Linked DNA regions of Yarrowia lipolytica. The protein of the gene in region 4 purifies or fractionates together with the protein of the main gene of each other region. This does not show direct contact. Links are inferred from orthologs where the notes say so. Each region holds a gene or a part of one and is shown on either strand. Other genes may lie near its edges. The genes, in order: YALI1_F21261g, YALI1_B02091g, YALI1_F17907g and YALI1_C17949g.

Region 1 (3,623 bases), on a different chromosome or scaffold from region 4:
TCTGGGCGGGCTTGGGAGCCGCTGCCTTACAGCCGTAGTCTGCCACTCCCGTTCCAGCTTTCTTCTTGGAGATTTCGCCCTGAATCAGTGCTGCAAAATCCATTTTTGTGTGTTGTGAATGAAGTAGCGTTTTTTTGCGATGCTGCACATACATCTATGCAGCTGCAGAACACATTTTGTGCCAACCTTAAAAACAGCGTTCTTCTTTTTTTCCTCTGCCAACTTTATCGAGGCACGACCATGACCAGATATGGAGAGGTAGGCGACACCACCAAGTCGCCTTGAAAATGAGAAATCGAGGCAGTTGCTTAGTCAGAAAACCTTTTTCCGATACAAACATGCAATTTTCACACTCTTGGAAGACTCCATACTATCCTTGTAACGCTCTTGCCCACGTCTCGTTGCTTTAGTCCGAACTTCTCCTCACACTCAACCAATGGGATTTTTTCAGTTCATATTAAGTAACTTTCAACAAGGACAATAGAACTAGTTAGTTTTAAGCGCAAGTAACTCTGACCTTCACTCGAAATATGCCGTCCAGAAACAACATCTTGTAGCTCTGAATCTCTTCTCGAGGCCACTACCTAAGATACATCGATGAACTCGACCTTGTGTACATGTATTCTTACATACGTCTCTTCTACACTCACTGACAGACCGCTCATATTCCCCTCAACTCTTCCTCGGAAAGTTACTTTGATTGCAGTTCGGTCTAACGGCGGTGAACTCTGCTGCGCAGGTATAGGTGAGCTGTGTGTCTCAGGGTGCCTGAACCCGAGACTTCTGGGTTAGATCAAAGGCAAAAAGGTGAGCTGACCTCTATTGCTAGCGGATCAACAGTTATGAGAACGCCCAATGTGATTGCCGACCCTCGGCTGATTGTATTGATCGACAAAGCAGCACATGCGGGAAGAAACGGAACCATGAAGGTGGAGATCCGGTGCAGATGTGCGCGCGAGAGATACGGAGAGGGTTATGGGGTCAAATTCAATTGAATTGCACATTTGTGATCATTCTGCTGCCCAATTGCGTGTGTACTATTGCTAATATTCCAGAATACAGTACATACTCGTGCGTACAGTGGGAACTTGGACAATCCACCCCAAACATCATAATATGTCTCAATTTCAACATATTTCGTCGATATCATTGATTGCGAGTGGCACAGAGACATGCGCAGAGTCATGCTTAGCATACATATCCCTTTCTTATACCAAAAATCCCCCTTCAAAGGGTCTAAAATTGACACCAACTTTTGCGATCACGTGACTAATCTGTCTTCTCAAAACAGTCTAACGGTTTTTGGTCCTAACGGTTGCGGCCATATCCTGGTGAAAATACGGCTTCCCGTCCGATCAGCCATAGTCAAGCACCAGAGAGCCTAGTTAGTATTGTAGTGGGAGACCATACGAGAATCCTGGGTGCTGCAATCTCTGTTTTTTGCAGCTTACTAAGGTGGCGACAATGTAAGTTTTTTTGCTTAGTAATAATGCTTTGCATTAATGCTTAGTAACAATGGGGTATTGGAGCCTTCCGAAGTCCTTCCTCAACCTTCGTTACTGGCCAAGCTGATTAATATCCTCTTTAATACTCGTATTATAGCACACAAAGAGGACCCAAACTGGTGTCAAGATGGGGCTTTTGTTTGAATCGACTTGAACAGAACTCGAACTTGGAGCATCTCATACTTCAACTAACTTTCCAACTGTTATTCCTCTCGTTTGACAGCTCTATAGTTGACCATCGAGAGCAACCCAAACTGTCACCACGACCACACAATTGGGGCATGCAATGACCATTAAAACTGAAAAAAGGTAGTCTAGCAAATATATACCAGTAATTCGAGAAGAATATCTCGGAAAAACTATACCCGCAACTCTTCAATCACCCATCATTAGGTACATGTCCATACATTACCTACGGTACCATATTTAAACTTCACCAAGAAAGTTCATATATGCAGAACCTCAGCACTTTGGCGGTTTCGCTGATCGAGATAGATACATTTCCATCATCGTTTCCTCACGACATTCGCACAGACAAGATGAACGTGAAATCTGAGGTCAAGCCCGAAGAGGAAGATGTTAAGATTCCTCCTCCTCCTGTTGATGCCGACGATGGATCTTTCGACCTGGATACTGCGGGACTCGAAAACCGGGTATGGTTGGTGCGACTGCCCAAGTTTTTGGTGGACAAGTGGAGCCATCTGGATGAACACACTAACAAGCGACTCGGCCAGGTGCTGATCAAGGAAAACACAGCTCCCGGCGAGAAACAAAAGGTGTCTTTGCGCCTAAGTGATACGCCCGAAAACAGTGAGATTCCACATGAGTATGAGTTGGATATCGTCAAGGAGGTGGTCAACAACACGTTTGTGTTCACGGAGAAGGAGCAGAAGAAGGAAAAGGAAAAAGAAAAGGAGGAGGCCGGCAGTAGTGGAGCCGGCTCGTCGTCGTCGGCAGCGTCATCGTCAGCAGGAAAGGTCTCAAAGCCATCAGCATTTCCATTTGCACGAACAATCCCCAAGAAAACGGCGCTGGCCGGCCGAGTAATCCACGAATGCACAGTTGTGCCGTCACTCAAGGACGCAAATTACAAAAAGGTCATTCAGAAGCGAAAGGAGCGACTGCAACAGCCTCCTGCTGCCCGAGTCACTCTGCTCAACGACCTCCCCGGCGTGGTGGCTTCTTCCAATGCCCCCAACCTGCGTGGCACTGGCTCTCAGTCGCACTTCATGAAGGCCCAGAAGAAGGATATCAAGCTGGACGGAAAGGCCGTTCGGATCGAGCGATCTGCGCTTCTGGATATCCTCTTCAAGCTGTTCGAAGAGTACCCCTACTGGTCGCTCAAGGGTCTTAAGGAACGAACCAAGCAGCCTGAAGTGTACCTTCGAGAGGTACTCGATAGCATGGCTGTTCTCAACAAGTCTGGTCCTTATGCCATGAAATACTCCCTGCAACAGGAGTACAAGCAGCTGTCCAATTCTGCAGGTGCCCAGGAGGAAGACGATGGTGCAGACGATGATGACGATGATGTTGAGATGGAGACTGTGTTGTAGATTTGACAAGTGGTTTGCACATGGGTTAGGTGAATAAATATAAATATCATTGACTATATAAATGAGTGAATAAATAGGTCAGTTCTTGGTTAATGGGGTATGAAGTTGAAGTTGAAAACATCGTGACGATTAGAAGACATCCTTATCCCAGTTGAAAACAGATAGACGAGGCTGGTCAGATCTCTTCTTCGGTAGGCCTCTTGAAATCTGACGTCGTTGTTGCATCATCAAAGCAGCGTACTCTGGATCTTCTTCATCTGACGACGGCAGATCACAAGAATCCGAGAAAACGGACACAGAAGAAGTGGTCGACGTAGTGGAGCTGCCAGAGACTGAACGTATCTCAGCCTCCGGACATCCAATGTGGAATCTGTCCAATTGTCCGTACTTTTTCGGGCTTCTCTTGGGGCTCTGAGACATTGTAACTGTAGAAGAAACCGATCCGGGAGCAATGTACTGATTAGGAACCGCAAACTCCTTCACAGGGGACTTTATGGTCACCATGGGAGAATTAGTAGTCTTCAAAGACTTGGCAGGACTTCTCTGAGGTGATTTTTGAGGTGAT
Region 2 (6,881 bases), on a different chromosome or scaffold from region 4:
CATTCCAACGTGATTCCAACGTCATTTCAACGTGATCCAACGTGATCCAACGTGATCCAACGTGATCCAACGTGAGTCGTTCTTCATAAACTGGTCACGCCAACTGTCCTGGACAAGGACATGTTCAGCATCCAGGCCGTGGGGTGGCGTTTGAGGCCAAAGAGAGCATACTGACGAAGAGCTTTCAGCTTTCGATAATATTCTCACGTAGTTCTTTTCCACGTTGTCCTTGGAGTTGAAATGAATACCCGGGTACTGTACAGTAGCACTCAGGGATGGCGGTGAATTGGCAAAGATGCCAATAGTGTGCGTTCAAGAATAACATCAGATAGCGAGACTAGTTGCTGGGGAGACTCGACACGCGGGATAACAGCTCTGGTCGGATTGAGACACTTTGAGGAGTTCTGTGGGGTCCTCATCCTTTGGTGTAGGAGGATCACGAAAGGTTTCATTGAGTGCCTATTCAAAGAAAGAGGCCCCAAAAGAGACCTTGAACTGAGTCCAAAAACCCGACATGGAGCTTGTAGATGAAGCGGTCATGCCTGGAGCGCATTCGTTTTGTTTTTTGAGGCCTTGAAGGCATACCGGCTCACAAACTCTTAAGCCCCGGGGTTGTCGCATTCGGCCCGGAGACAAACAGCTTTCTGGAGTCCGACTGGATGGGCTCCGTAGAGAGATTCTCAGGTCAAACGACTGTCAACCATCCCTCAGTCGGGGAAGATACTCTGGGGAGTATATGATGTTCTCTCCAGGTGCCTTTTCTGACGAGCCCTGGCTCTATGAGGGACTGAAACTTGAAGAAGCTGTACATTGATGGAGACAAATCCGATTAGAAGCTCGCCAGCTCAATAATCGCCTCGTCTGCTTGTGTGAGTGTCGTTTGGAGGTTGAGACACTGTCGTGGTGTGGATCGTACTCAGGGTCATTAGAATTGATTAAAAAATCAGGGTAGAACTTCGCTTTTTCACCGGCTATCTCATTTCATCGTAGTTGTAGTTTGAACCAAATTATTCCACACGGTATGGACTCGTACAAGTCTCTGACCTGGAAGTGTTGTTTTCTTTGTTTTTTTTTTTATTTTTTTATATTTTTCGCCAGTTTTCTAAAACGAATTTATTTTTTTATTTTATTTATTTATTTATTTTATTTTATTTTATTTAATTTTATTTAATTTATTTAATTTAATTTAATTTAATTCTATTTAATTCTATTTAATTCTATTTGAAAACTCGGTTCAAAACTCCCACTGGAAATTTTAAACTTCCTCCGACTCGGAGAGTCTATCCAGTAAATAAAAATGGGGAAAATAGACAGAATTAGGAGGCGTGTGTTTCTGTGATCACGTGATTTTCCTGGTTTTCTGTATAGTTTTTTCTGTTTATTTTTCCGTCGTCTTGATCGACCATGGTTTTGTGGTGTTTTCTTTTGGGTTTTTATTTTTATTGTTTTTATTCAGACGAATTTTTTTTTATTTTTTTTGCTCGTTATTCCCACCTCTGTTCCACGTGACCTAACCCTGAAAAACATATTGTTGTCAGCACCACCACAACACGTCAACACCAACCCACCATGTCGTCCCCCGCTAGTGCCAGCGACGTTGATTCGGTCAAGGTCAAGATGGACGAGGACGAAATCGACGTCCGTGATGACGATCGTCACGAAAACGGCGAAGACAACGACAATGACAATGAAGAGATGGATGATAGTAGTGAGGAGGAGGATGATGATGATGAGGAGGAGATTGCTAGGGTGAGTGAAGTGTCGATATGACGAGATGACGAGATGACGAGATGACGAGATGAGCGAAGCGAATCTCGAGTGGATTTGGAGAGATGAGGAATCGAATCTCGATTTGGAGAGACGAGGAATCGAATCTCGAGTGGATTTGAGATGAACTAAGCGAATCTCGATTCCATTAAAAGACTGGAGATTCGTTTCGCTCATCTCCGTAGTGCCGCGGGTCTCATCTCCATAGAGTCGCGGGTCTCATTTGATGCTGGCAATGTTCTGTCTGGTTGGTTCAGTTCAGCGGATCACCAACCACAGTTTTCATCTGAGAAATCACAGTTTTCATCTGAACAATCGCGGTTGCCATCAGGAACAATCCTAGCACAGTAAACAGATCCAAGACTCAGTCAATCGTCGTCTTAGAATTACTGGCAGTGCCAGATCCCGCTGACGACGAGATACTCGCCGTTCTATCCAGTCTCGGCACTCGACTGTCTAACCTGACACTGCGCACTACTGGAGCTGCTCCAACATAATACTAACCCAGGTCCGACAAGGCTTCATTGTGGACGACGACGAAGAGGAAGAAGAAGTGGACAAACCGAGACGAAAACTCAAGAAACGACGACGAGTGATCCCCGAAGACACCGACGACAAACCCCCCACGCCCGCCGAGAACGACCATCTCGACGAAGATGATTTGGACCTCCTCATGGAGAACACGGGCGCGCCCCGAGAACGGCACTTTAAGCGTCTCAAGCGAGCAGGCGATGACGACTCCTCCGACCGCCAGAAGGGACTCGCCGACATGTTCTCCGACGAGGAAGAACAGCCCGCGCCGGTCGAACAGCGCAACGAGTTCGACGACTTCATTGAAGACGACGAGTTCAGTGAGGATGACGCACCAACACGGGGACGTGAGTCGCAGCGAGAGTCACGTGCCACTGGCGCTCCGGCCGCGTTCCTTTCCAAGGACGTGGGCATCGATGATGACAAGCTCAACGAGATCTACGAAGTGTTTGGCGACGGAGAGGAGTACGCATGGGCCCTGGACGCGGAGGAGGACCGCGAGCGTGCCCAGGAGGAGTACGAGGACGAGGGACGTGCTGGTCCAGAGCTCAGAGACGTGTTCGAGCCGTCTGAGCTGAGAGAACGACTCCTGACCGACGAGGATAATGACATCCGGGCACGTGACGAGCCCGAGCGGTACCAGCTTCTGCGTCAGTCGATCGACAAGTACGATCTGTCGGACGAGGACTTTTCCAAGGAGTGCGAGTGGGTGGCTAGCCGTTTGAAGACCATGAAACAGGAGCATGTTCCGCCCCACCTCGATTCCGAGTACGAGACTGCGGTCTCCAAGGTACTGGAGTTCATTGCCAAGGAGAATCTCGAGGTTCCGTTCATCTGGCATCATCGTCGAGACTTTCTTACCCATGTTTCGAAACATGAAAAGTTCAAGGCCAAGGTTGAGGATGACGAGTATGAGCCGACGTTGGAGGCACCTGTGGCATCCACCACCGAAGAAACCAAGGAGATTGAGTACACAACCGTCGAGTTGCTGTCTCTGGACGACCTGTGGATGATTGTGCAGCTTGATCTCGATTACCACGGCATTGTGGAGAAACAGCAGCAGCTGGAGCGGTTGCGAACCCAAGCGGGAGTGTCCAAGACTGGAAACCATTCATTCATCAACGATTTCGCCAACTCTGCCTCGTTGCAGGACACTCAAGACGCCATTGAGTATGTGCAATTTCGGTTTTCCGGCGAGCTCGGCGATTTGCAGTCCGGGTCGTCGAAGCGACATTCTCGGTACGCCAGATACGACCGAATTCGAGCCAGCAAGCTGTATGGTCTGGTCAGACAGTTTGGTATCTCCTCCGACGAGTTTGCAGAGAACCTGGAAACCTCCACGCGTATCAACTACACAGAGGATAACGCGCGAGCTCCAGCTGACCTTGCCACCGACTATTTGAACGATTCCAGCCTGGTCCTGAGTGACGCCGCATCGGCGCTCGAGAGCGCGACTCAGATGTTTGCCATGGAGCTGGCATTTGACCCGCGGGTGCGGCGGTATGTGCGTCAGCAGTTTGCGCAGCTCGCCAAGATTGACGTGTATGCAACCGAGGCGGGTTCCAGTCAGATTGACGAAGCACACCCAGCTTACGAGTTCAAGTACTCGCGAAATCTGTCATTTGAGGAGCTCAGAAAATCGCCCAAACTGTACCTTCAGATGCTGCAGGCCGAGGCTAAGGGCCTGGTGAATGTCCGAGTGTCGTACCCTGATTTCAAAACCAAGTTCATCGATCTTCTGCTGAGTAAGCTGCAGAGCGATGGCGTGTCTGACATTGCCAGTCAATGGAACACCCAGCGACGGGCGGTGGTTCGAATTGCAATGAAGACTCTCGTTCCCATGGTCACTCGATCTATCAAGGAGGAGTTGAGGAACGACTGTGAGCGGCAACTCTTCTTTGAGCTGCGTCGCATGTTTGGCAGAAAGTTGAACCAGGCTCCTTTCAAGCCGCGAAACTACGAAAAGGGCACAGTTCCAAGAGTGTTGGCGCTTTCTGCCGGCCAGGCTGATTTTCGACGAGACGCCGTGGTTGGCGTTTTTGTCGATGAGGAAGGCCGAGTGGCTGAACGGGCCAAGCTCGGAGCTCCACAAACCCAGGAGTTCACCAACGCGCTGTCCGAGATGGTCAAGCGTCGAACTCCCGATCTTATCGCCTTCTCGGGCCAGACAGTCCAATCCCACAGACTCAAGAGCGTGATTGAAGAGGTTGTTCGAACGCAGGGTCTGGAGGCCGAGGGAGAGCCTCTGGAGGTGCGATGGGTGCAGGATGAGGTTGCCTGCCTGTTCAGAAACTCCGCCGGTGCCCTGGTGGAGTTTGCAGACTCGCCTCCTCTGGAACGGTACTGTGTGGCTCTTGCGCGGTATGTTCAGAGCCCCCTGCTGGAGTATCTTTCGCTGGGCAAGGAAATCAAGGCGATTCCCATGGTGGATTTCCAGTCGTTGATTTCTGAGGACCGCTTCTACGAGGCCGTGGACTCGACTTTTGTCGATTACGTCAATCTCGTGGGAGTCGACATCAATGAGGCCATTAGAGACGCTTACGTGGCTCGAATGCTGCCCTACATTGCTGGTTTGGGCCCCCGAAAGGCGTCTGGTCTGACTCACAAAATCCAGTCTCGTGGCTATCTCGGCACTCGTCTGGATCTCATCACCGAGAAGCTGTGTGGAAAGAATGTCTTTATGAACGTGGCTTCGTTCCTGCGTCTTCCTTACGACAAGCGATCGGTTCGTCACGAGGAGACGGAACTTCTGGACGCCACTCGAATCCATATTGAGGATTACGAACTGGCGAAAAAGATGGCTGCTGATGCCCTTGAGCTCGACGAGGAAGATCTTCTGGAGTTTGAGTCCGAGGGAGGAGTTATTGCTCAACTGATGAAGGAGGGCGCCGAGAAGCTCAACGAGCTCATTCTGGAGGGCTACGCCGAGGAACTCGAGCAGAAACTCGGCAAGAAGAAGCGGTACACTCTGGAGATGATCCGAAGAGAGCTCATCAACCACTACGAGGAGCTGCGGGAGCCGTTACACGTGCTGACCGACCTTGAGGTCTTCACTATGCTCACCGGAGAGACGGAAAAATCGCTGCATCCCGGTTCCGTCGTGGCGGTGCAGATTAGAAGAATCTCCGACAGATACCTTGCGGTGCGTCTTTCGTGCGGAATTCAGGGCAACGTGACCCAGGACCGGATCACCGACCAGCGAGGAGTGCATCCGTCGGCGCTGTTTCACCATCAACAGACGATTCGAGCGGTCGTCATGGAGGTGTCATACTCGAATTTCTCCGCAGAGTTGTCGTGTCTCCACCGAGACATTTCTGACGCGCAAAAACGAGCCCGTCAGGTGAAGAGACCGCGAGATCAATGGGACTTTGAAGCGGAGGCCGCCGACAAGTCCGCCCAGGAGGTGCGTCGTGAGGTGGAGCAGCGAAAGACTCGAGTCATCAAGCATCCTCTGTTCAAGCTCTTCTCTGGCTCCGATGCCGAAAAGTTCCTCTCTACACTTCCCCGTGGAGAGCTTGTCATCAGACCCTCGTCACGTGGCACAGATCACATTGCCGTCACGTGGAAGGTCGGTGATGGCATTTACCAGCACATTGACGTCGTGGAGCTCGGCAAGGAAAACGAGTATGCGCTTGGAAAGACTCTCATGGTCGGCACCTCCAAGTACTCCGATCTCGATGAGCTCATCGCCATGCATGTCAAGTCCATGGCTCGAAAGGTAGACGAGCTGTGCCATTCGGACAAGTACTCGGCCGACTCCATTGCCGAGACGGAGCAGAGTATGGACTCGTATCTACGAGGTGGTTCGAAACGAGCCGTGTACCGGTTTGTGCTGTCGTCCAAAAAGGCTGGCTACTTCCATTTGCTGGTTAAGACGGACCAGAAGAGTCCCATGCTTGACTGGCCCGTCAAGGTGATTCCTGGAGGCTACCAGTTGGGTGGAGAAAAGTACCCTGATGTCATGAAGCTGTGCAACGGGTTCAAGACCTTGTTCAAGAGCAAGACTCAGAGAAGATAGTTGTGTATATTAATTGATTGTTGTAATGAAAGTAATCCGAGAGCGAGTCGTAACGACGCTGTTGGATGTGTCTTGGGCTATCCATTCCTCCAAGTGTTTCGTTCGTGTACGCGCACACTTTCACATTCTAGTACTGTACTACAGAGACGTCTACAGTATCTCTTCATCCTATATCGCCCTGCAGCTGAATCATCGGACCTCTGTAGCTGGTCGCTTCGTCCTATCTTTCGAGCGAACGTCGTCCGTTATATCTCGGAAACTCCACTGCGTGCTTGAAGTTGATATTAGCTCTGGTGTCCAAACAGGACTAAAGCCCGAGTAAGATTGGTGATGGCAGATCGCTTGTCGGGTGCAACAGGCGAATATGATAAGCGATTGCGACACTTTTGCCGAACATGTCAAAGTCAGATAATCTAGTAACAAACGAAACCTCTCCTACGTCGAGGTTCCAGTTTGTTTCTGTCGCAGTTCCCACTCCTTGGCCCCCTCCATGATCAAATCAAACACGGGATCCTTCACGTCGTAGTAACTGTCGACATCGTCGGCAAATCGCTTGGCCAGCTGA
Region 3 (2,736 bases), on a different chromosome or scaffold from region 4:
TTTTCATAGGCCTTCAACGTGTACGTGATTTTCACACCTGGACAAACGTGCGCAAACGCCTCGTCGCTGAAAAACGGCACATTGACGCTCATGACAGACCCCAACAGAGACGCCGTAGCCGGACCCACGCCTTTCAGCTCACTCAAGACCTTGATTGCTTCGATGATCTCGTCACCTGCAATCAGATGAGCCGCTTTTTGTGTTACTTGCTCCACCTCCTCGGCCCTGTTCGATTCCGCGAGCTGTTGCAGTTTTGGACGGAACGTGCCGCGTTTCAGCTTCCAGGTCATGAGTTTGGCGAGTTCACCGTGGGTCAGAGCACGGGGGTTTTCTCGTACGTCATCAGACAGCTGCTTACGCCACTCGTCCAGCTCGGCCAGCGTCTCCTTGCCTCCCTTCTTGGCCGACTTTGACGCCTTCAGCTGGAGCAACTCGTGGTAGTCCATGTGTAGAGTTTGGACCCCTCTTCACCATGTGCGTGCGCTTGAAGAATACATTGGCTTAGTAATATACATCCATTTATAAATACATGCTAATCCTGGGCAGAGCCGTCTCGAGGTCGGTAAACCACACCCTTGCTCTTCAGATCATCCACAATGTCCTGCGGCAACTTTCCATTCACCTTGACGGCATACAGACCGGGCTGGAAGCCGTCGATTCGCAGCCACTTGGACACCCACGATGAGCTGGGGTCACAGAGCGCCACCTGGCCTTCGAATGCTGGGGGTTAGTCAAAGCTTCAAACAAAAAGATCCATCAATTGTCGTCCCTCTTCATACTCACATGGACTGGTGCAGTCCTGTGTCAGACTATCGTCGGCCTTCATGTCGAGCACCGAATCGCAGTTAGGACATCCCTTGGAAATGAAAGCCTGGGTTAGTAGGTGAAACAATAGATCAGGTCACGTGATACTCACCTTGAGCGGCTGGACGATTCCACAGAGCATACATGCTCGCTCAGTTCGAGTAGACATGGTCGTTGGCGTGTTGGAAAAGTGCTGGCCCAGAGTTTGTCATGCGTCTCACAGATTATGACATGGTAGTGTGAAATGAACTTAAAATTTGTGAGTGGATGGAGTGAGATTGAAACGGTGCCAGGTACTGTACCTGTACAAATATGAAAATATATAATAAAAATTAAACCAGACTTGAGTTATTGCTCTCTTTTTTTGGTTATTTTATCGATTTAGGCATATTTTTTTGAGCTGTTACAGCCCCGTTTGTACATCTAAAGTCGCCTCCTAATAGACACAGTATATACAGTTCTTGGGAGTATCATCTTCGCACCCTTCCAACTAAAAGTCCGAGTAAAAATGGAAGTTAGATATTTACTAAAAATCTCATAATTCATATAAAATAACTATCAAAAGGGTATTTTATCTAGCCTCATAGATTTATTCCATCCCGCAAAAGTACTTGTTCTGACTTGTATATTGGTCACTTTCTACAAAATGTGGAACACGGCATTCAATCCCCCAGTCCATTTTTTTTTAAGTCAACTAAAGTCTAACAAGAGATTATTTATACGCAATTCTACCAAGTCTACATTCTGCAACCGCTCCGCTTCGGCTGCTTGTCATGGGTATAATGTATTTAAATATAAATGAAATGAACGATTAAACAAAGGAGGGCTCAAAGTTGGAGTTGTTGTTGACGTACGCCTCCAGCCGTGACTTCCAGTTCTCCAAATCCTTCTCCAGCCGTAGAGACTTTTCTCGCAGCTCTCTAGACTCTCGCTCTGCCCGTCGAGCCACCACCTGGTACTGCGACTCGCTTCCCTGTGCCTTCTCAACTGCTTCCACCAGTCGGTTCACCTTGGCCTCCGACTTGGCAGACTCCTCCTGCAGTCGCTTTACCAGCTGGTCACGCTGATCAAGCTGATCCCGGAGCTCACGTGCCTGACGGTCACCTCCTCGAGACGACTTGAGGTCAGCAAGCATATCCGACTGCTGCTGCTGGAGCTCTTTCTCGAGCTGAGACACCCGCTTTCTGAGGGCCTCGGTATCCCCTCCTCCAGAAGACAAAAGTCTTGACTCGAGATCGAGAATCTTGAGGTTGAGCTCCTTGGTCTGCTGCTCTGACTCTCGCTTCTGAGTCTGCATCACCCTGCGCTCACGCTCCAGAGCGGCCAGAGCGTCGGCAGCAGACTTCTCAGCAGTTCGAAGCTGCGTGGAAGACACCTGAGAGGAGGTTCGAGAGAGAGGCGTCTCACCGTGGCTCTTTAGAAGACTCTCGAGATCAACTGCCATGGTAGACACACGGCTTTCAAGAGCTCGTTTGTCCTTGAGCAGCTGGTCTCTGTCAGTGGCAATCTCGTCCATGGTGGTTCGCAGATTCTGAACCTGAGACAGCAGCGAAGCAACCCGCTTCTGGGCCTCGGAGTTGGCCTTTTCGTCAGCCTGGGCCTGCTGCTGAAGGTCGTGCACCTGTGCAGCCAGCCGGTCGTGCTCGTCGCGCCATTGCTTGGCCTCGGACTGCTCAAGCTCCCGCTGACGCTTCATAGCATCAGTCTGCTGCTGCAGCATCATGTTTTGCTGTCTTAGGGAAGACACGTTCTTGGTCTCGGCTGCCAGAGTCTTGGTCAGCTCAGCCAGCTCGCTCTTAGAACCCTCAAGACCCCGACCCTGTTCGGTCTCCAATCGTTTATGGGACCGCCGAAGAGTCGCCACCTCCATCTCCTTGTCCTCCAGCTGGTTCTCCAGACCCCGAACCTCAGCCTGCAGCTCAATCAGAGCAG
Region 4 (3,079 bases):
ATCATACAGGCAACCTTTCGCTTGGGCTGTCGCACCTCGTCGGCCACCAGAGGACCGTCCGTCTTTCGACGTGTATCTCGGCCCTCGCCCTGCTTCTCCTGCTCTCGTTGTCGGTCGCCTCGTCGGTCCATCTTCTGCTTCTTGGCCTGGTGATCGCCTCGAGGTCGGTTCCAGTTGCCTCCCTTGCCTCGCTTCTGGCCGAGATCGTGCTGCTCAGCCGAGTCGCCGGACGCACTGTTGCCGACGACGGGGGTGGTGGTAGGTTCGCTCATGGTGACGGGGAAAAATCGGCCTTTCAACGGAATCAGACGTTTGATCACTTGCAAAAAATTACCTTTCATGCAGTAGAATATTTTTCGCTGAGAAATGCGAACTACAAGTACAACAAGCTGTTCTGGATAACCATAAATCCGACAGCAAAGCCAGCATTACAGAAGCAAGAGCTTCGGGGCGAGCCCGTTTCTGGCTCCTCTGGATTTATTTGTAGTTTTTAATTCGATTTAATTCGGTTTTAAATCATATTTATGAAAAAAAAAATACAGGGCTGTACTCGTCATACTCGTACCTGTAGTAGCAGAATAACAGTTCCAAGATAACAGACACACTCCCGGTTCTCTCTTTGATGGCATTAAATGTATGTATATATAGAATTCATTACTTATTTCATGGATGAATTTCGAATATTTCTAAAACACCCCGAAAATCGACAGAAAAATATAAAAAATTTCCTTTTTTTCTCCCTTTTTTTTTTGAAAACTCTAATAAAAAAATTTAAACAAACTTCATCGTCATTGGACATGCAGGTAAATTTCAACTTGACAACAGTGGTATTGTAGCTACAAGTAGATAAATATGCCCTGGATAGCCTTTGGGCGTCAGTCCAATGATGGTTGGTCTGACGGATCTTCAACCAGTCATTTAAAACATGTTACATTACAATTTTGGTGCTCGTAAGCCAAGGTGTTGAGACAGGGTCAGACACAGGCTGAGATACTCCGTAGCCATGATCATAAGGCCGACTCCCTAGGGTTCAGTTTCGGTAGATATCAGTCATCAATTGAGATACCAGCCAACAATTGAGATACCAGCCAACAATTGAGATACCAGCCAACAGGAGATATCCGAGTTCAGGCCAGTCGCATAGCCAGTACAACGACCACAGGCAGCGGCATTCCAACAGGATCCAGCTTGAATCCGCTTATTTCTCCCACAAGGTGTAAACGAAAGAAAAGCCCTTCTCTTCCACAGGAGTATCTCGTCCAGGAAGCTCCACCTTGTCTCCCACAAAGTCTTGGAGACGTTCATAAGGCTGCTTCTTCCACAGACCCTGGTCAAAGCCCTCGAAGAAGGTGTCACATTCCACGTGGCCGTCGGGACAGGTAATTTCTGTCAAAAGCACGGCCTTTGTATGTTCGTGGACCAGCGCGGTCTTGTAAACCTGAGATCCGCCGATGACGTAAACGGTAGAATCCTCGGGGCACTTTGTAAGCGCTTCGTCGAACGACCGGGCGACTACAACCTCCTCGGGAGCGTCAGTCATGGGTCTAGAAGTGAGAACAATGTTGGTTCGATCAGGAAGAGGTCTGAACTTGGGGGGAATGGAGTCCCAGGTGGTTCGTCCCATGATGACGACGGCGTTCTTCTGGGCTGTAGTCACCTGTTTGAAGAACTTCATTTCTTTGGCTAGTCTCCATGGAAGTCCTCCATTGAGTCCGATGCCATATCGGGGCACTGTGGCTGCCAGAATGAGCGTAGTTGAAGGAGGCATTTTTGTCAGTGTTTGGTGCTGTTTCTTGTGCCCTGCCAGTGTACCAGTTGATCTGACGCGTATAATTTAGACTTAACGCGTGACCCAAATGGCGTAAATTAGCCTACCCAGCGGGGATTCGAACCGAGTGGATTTTAATCTTCAGTCCAATATGCACTGGTGGAAACACCACTGTCTGTGATCATCAACCCACAAAACCACACAAGACACACACACACACAACAATGAACGTGTCTACAAGTACTGTTCAGCAGCAGCGACGAAAGCCCACGACCGTCAACGCGGTGCAGGACGAGGATGCAGCCCAGCTGAAACTCGGACCCGAGTTCGACGTGACCCAATACACCCACGACGGGTTTGAGACCGCCCTCACAGCTCTGTCGACCTCAGAGGCCCGATCTCTCATTAACCATACGCTCAAGAAGCGAAAGAATGACGCATTGGGTATTGAGAACACGGAAGACGATACCCTGGACGACGAGGAGGAGATCAACGCCAATGACGTGCTGCGAAAGACCCGGGAGTACATGAACATCTTCTCGCGGTTCCGAGAACAGCAAAAGGTGGCTGCGGTGGCCCAGATTCTGCGTCACCAAGACAACGCCGATCTGCATCCGTTTGAAATCGCCCAGCTCGGAACTCTGTCGTGTGATGGAGCCGAGGAGGCCAAAACTCTGATTCCCTCTCTGGCTGCCAAGCGAACCGACGCCCAGCTCCAGGAGCTGCTGGATCTGGTCAGAGAACATGACCGAGAAAACTAAACGGTGCTGTATTATAAATGGTGCTACAAGGTGGGTAATATATATTGTATAACAGCGGGTATGTGGACCACAGGCTAATGTGGTACGAGTAGCTGATGTACTCAAAGAGATATGACACAACATGACTACGGAATTACCGAGTTCACACTGCCGTTTAAACGGTACTGTACTTACTGTCGATACATACACTTGTACCCACGAGAACACATGCCCAAACACACACAGTCCCTCCATTCATGAACATATCAGGTATTTTTCATTGTCGTCAGGATGCTCTCGGTTGGCTCCATCGCGGTATATATATTCTGAATCTTAGTAAGCAAAAAAAATGGCCAAAAAAGGCAAAAAAAGATCAGCCCGACGTGGGGCTTGAACCCACAGCCTTGAGATGACCTTAGAGTAAGAGTCTCACGCTCTACCGATTGAGCTAGCCAGGCGATTTTTCTTTTAAAAAAGTCGTGTTTATCCATATCCAGGATTTACTTAGTCAGCAAAAATTATAATAATAAAAATAAACGATTTACAAGTGTATGATTTATTGAATGCCAAT

What was found.
Region 1: the proteins of YALI1_C17949g (region 4) and YALI1_F21261g purify together in Saccharomyces cerevisiae (affinity purification with mass spectrometry; 4 studies listed by BioGRID, with this or other methods). This does not show direct contact. The link is inferred for Yarrowia lipolytica from reciprocal best matches to the Saccharomyces cerevisiae genes RPB4 and TFG2.
Region 2: the proteins of YALI1_C17949g (region 4) and YALI1_B02091g purify together in Saccharomyces cerevisiae (affinity purification with mass spectrometry; 3 studies listed by BioGRID). This does not show direct contact. The link is inferred for Yarrowia lipolytica from reciprocal best matches to the Saccharomyces cerevisiae genes RPB4 and SPT6.
Region 3: the proteins of YALI1_C17949g (region 4) and YALI1_F17907g purify together in Saccharomyces cerevisiae (affinity purification with mass spectrometry; 4 studies listed by BioGRID, with this or other methods). This does not show direct contact. The link is inferred for Yarrowia lipolytica from reciprocal best matches to the Saccharomyces cerevisiae genes RPB4 and SPT4.

Annotation. Positions count from the first base shown.
Region 1 is NC_090775.1:2,124,437-2,128,059, reverse strand, and holds YALI1_F21261g (uncharacterized protein), read left to right. Parts: upstream 1-1,957; coding exon 1,958-3,058; downstream 3,059-3,623. Other genes in the region: YALI1_F21279g (uncharacterized protein), read right to left, coding at 1-154; YALI1_F21224g (uncharacterized protein), read right to left, coding at 3,188-3,623. UniProt on the Saccharomyces cerevisiae protein: TFIIF is a general transcription initiation factor that binds to RNA polymerase II.
Region 2 is NC_090771.1:207,591-214,471, forward strand, and holds YALI1_B02091g (uncharacterized protein), read left to right. Parts: upstream 1-1,569; coding exon 1,570-1,749; intron 1,750-2,275; coding exon 2,276-6,316; downstream 6,317-6,881. Other genes in the region: YALI1_B02073g (uncharacterized protein), read right to left, coding at 1-3; YALI1_B02082g (uncharacterized protein), read right to left, coding at 460-655, 702-811; YALI1_B02149g (uncharacterized protein), read right to left, coding at 6,752-6,881. UniProt on the Saccharomyces cerevisiae protein: Histone H3-H4 chaperone that plays a role in maintenance of chromatin structure during RNA polymerase II transcription elongation thereby repressing transcription initiation from cryptic promoters.
Region 3 is NC_090775.1:1,788,957-1,791,692, reverse strand, and holds YALI1_F17907g (uncharacterized protein), read right to left. Parts: upstream 974-2,736; coding exon 917-973; intron 872-916; coding exon 784-871; intron 721-783; coding exon 533-720; downstream 1-532. Other genes in the region: YALI1_F17912g (uncharacterized protein), read right to left, coding at 1-446; YALI1_F17836g (uncharacterized protein), read right to left, coding at 1,616-2,736.
Region 4 is NC_090772.1:1,792,943-1,796,021, forward strand, and holds YALI1_C17949g (uncharacterized protein), read left to right. Parts: upstream 1-1,992; coding exon 1,993-2,529; downstream 2,530-3,079. Other genes in the region: YALI1_C17932g (uncharacterized protein), read right to left, coding at 1-341; YALI1_C17947g (uncharacterized protein), read right to left, coding at 1,199-1,768. UniProt on the Saccharomyces cerevisiae protein: DNA-dependent RNA polymerase catalyzes the transcription of DNA into RNA using the four ribonucleoside triphosphates as substrates. Component of RNA polymerase II which synthesizes mRNA precursors and many functional non-coding RNAs.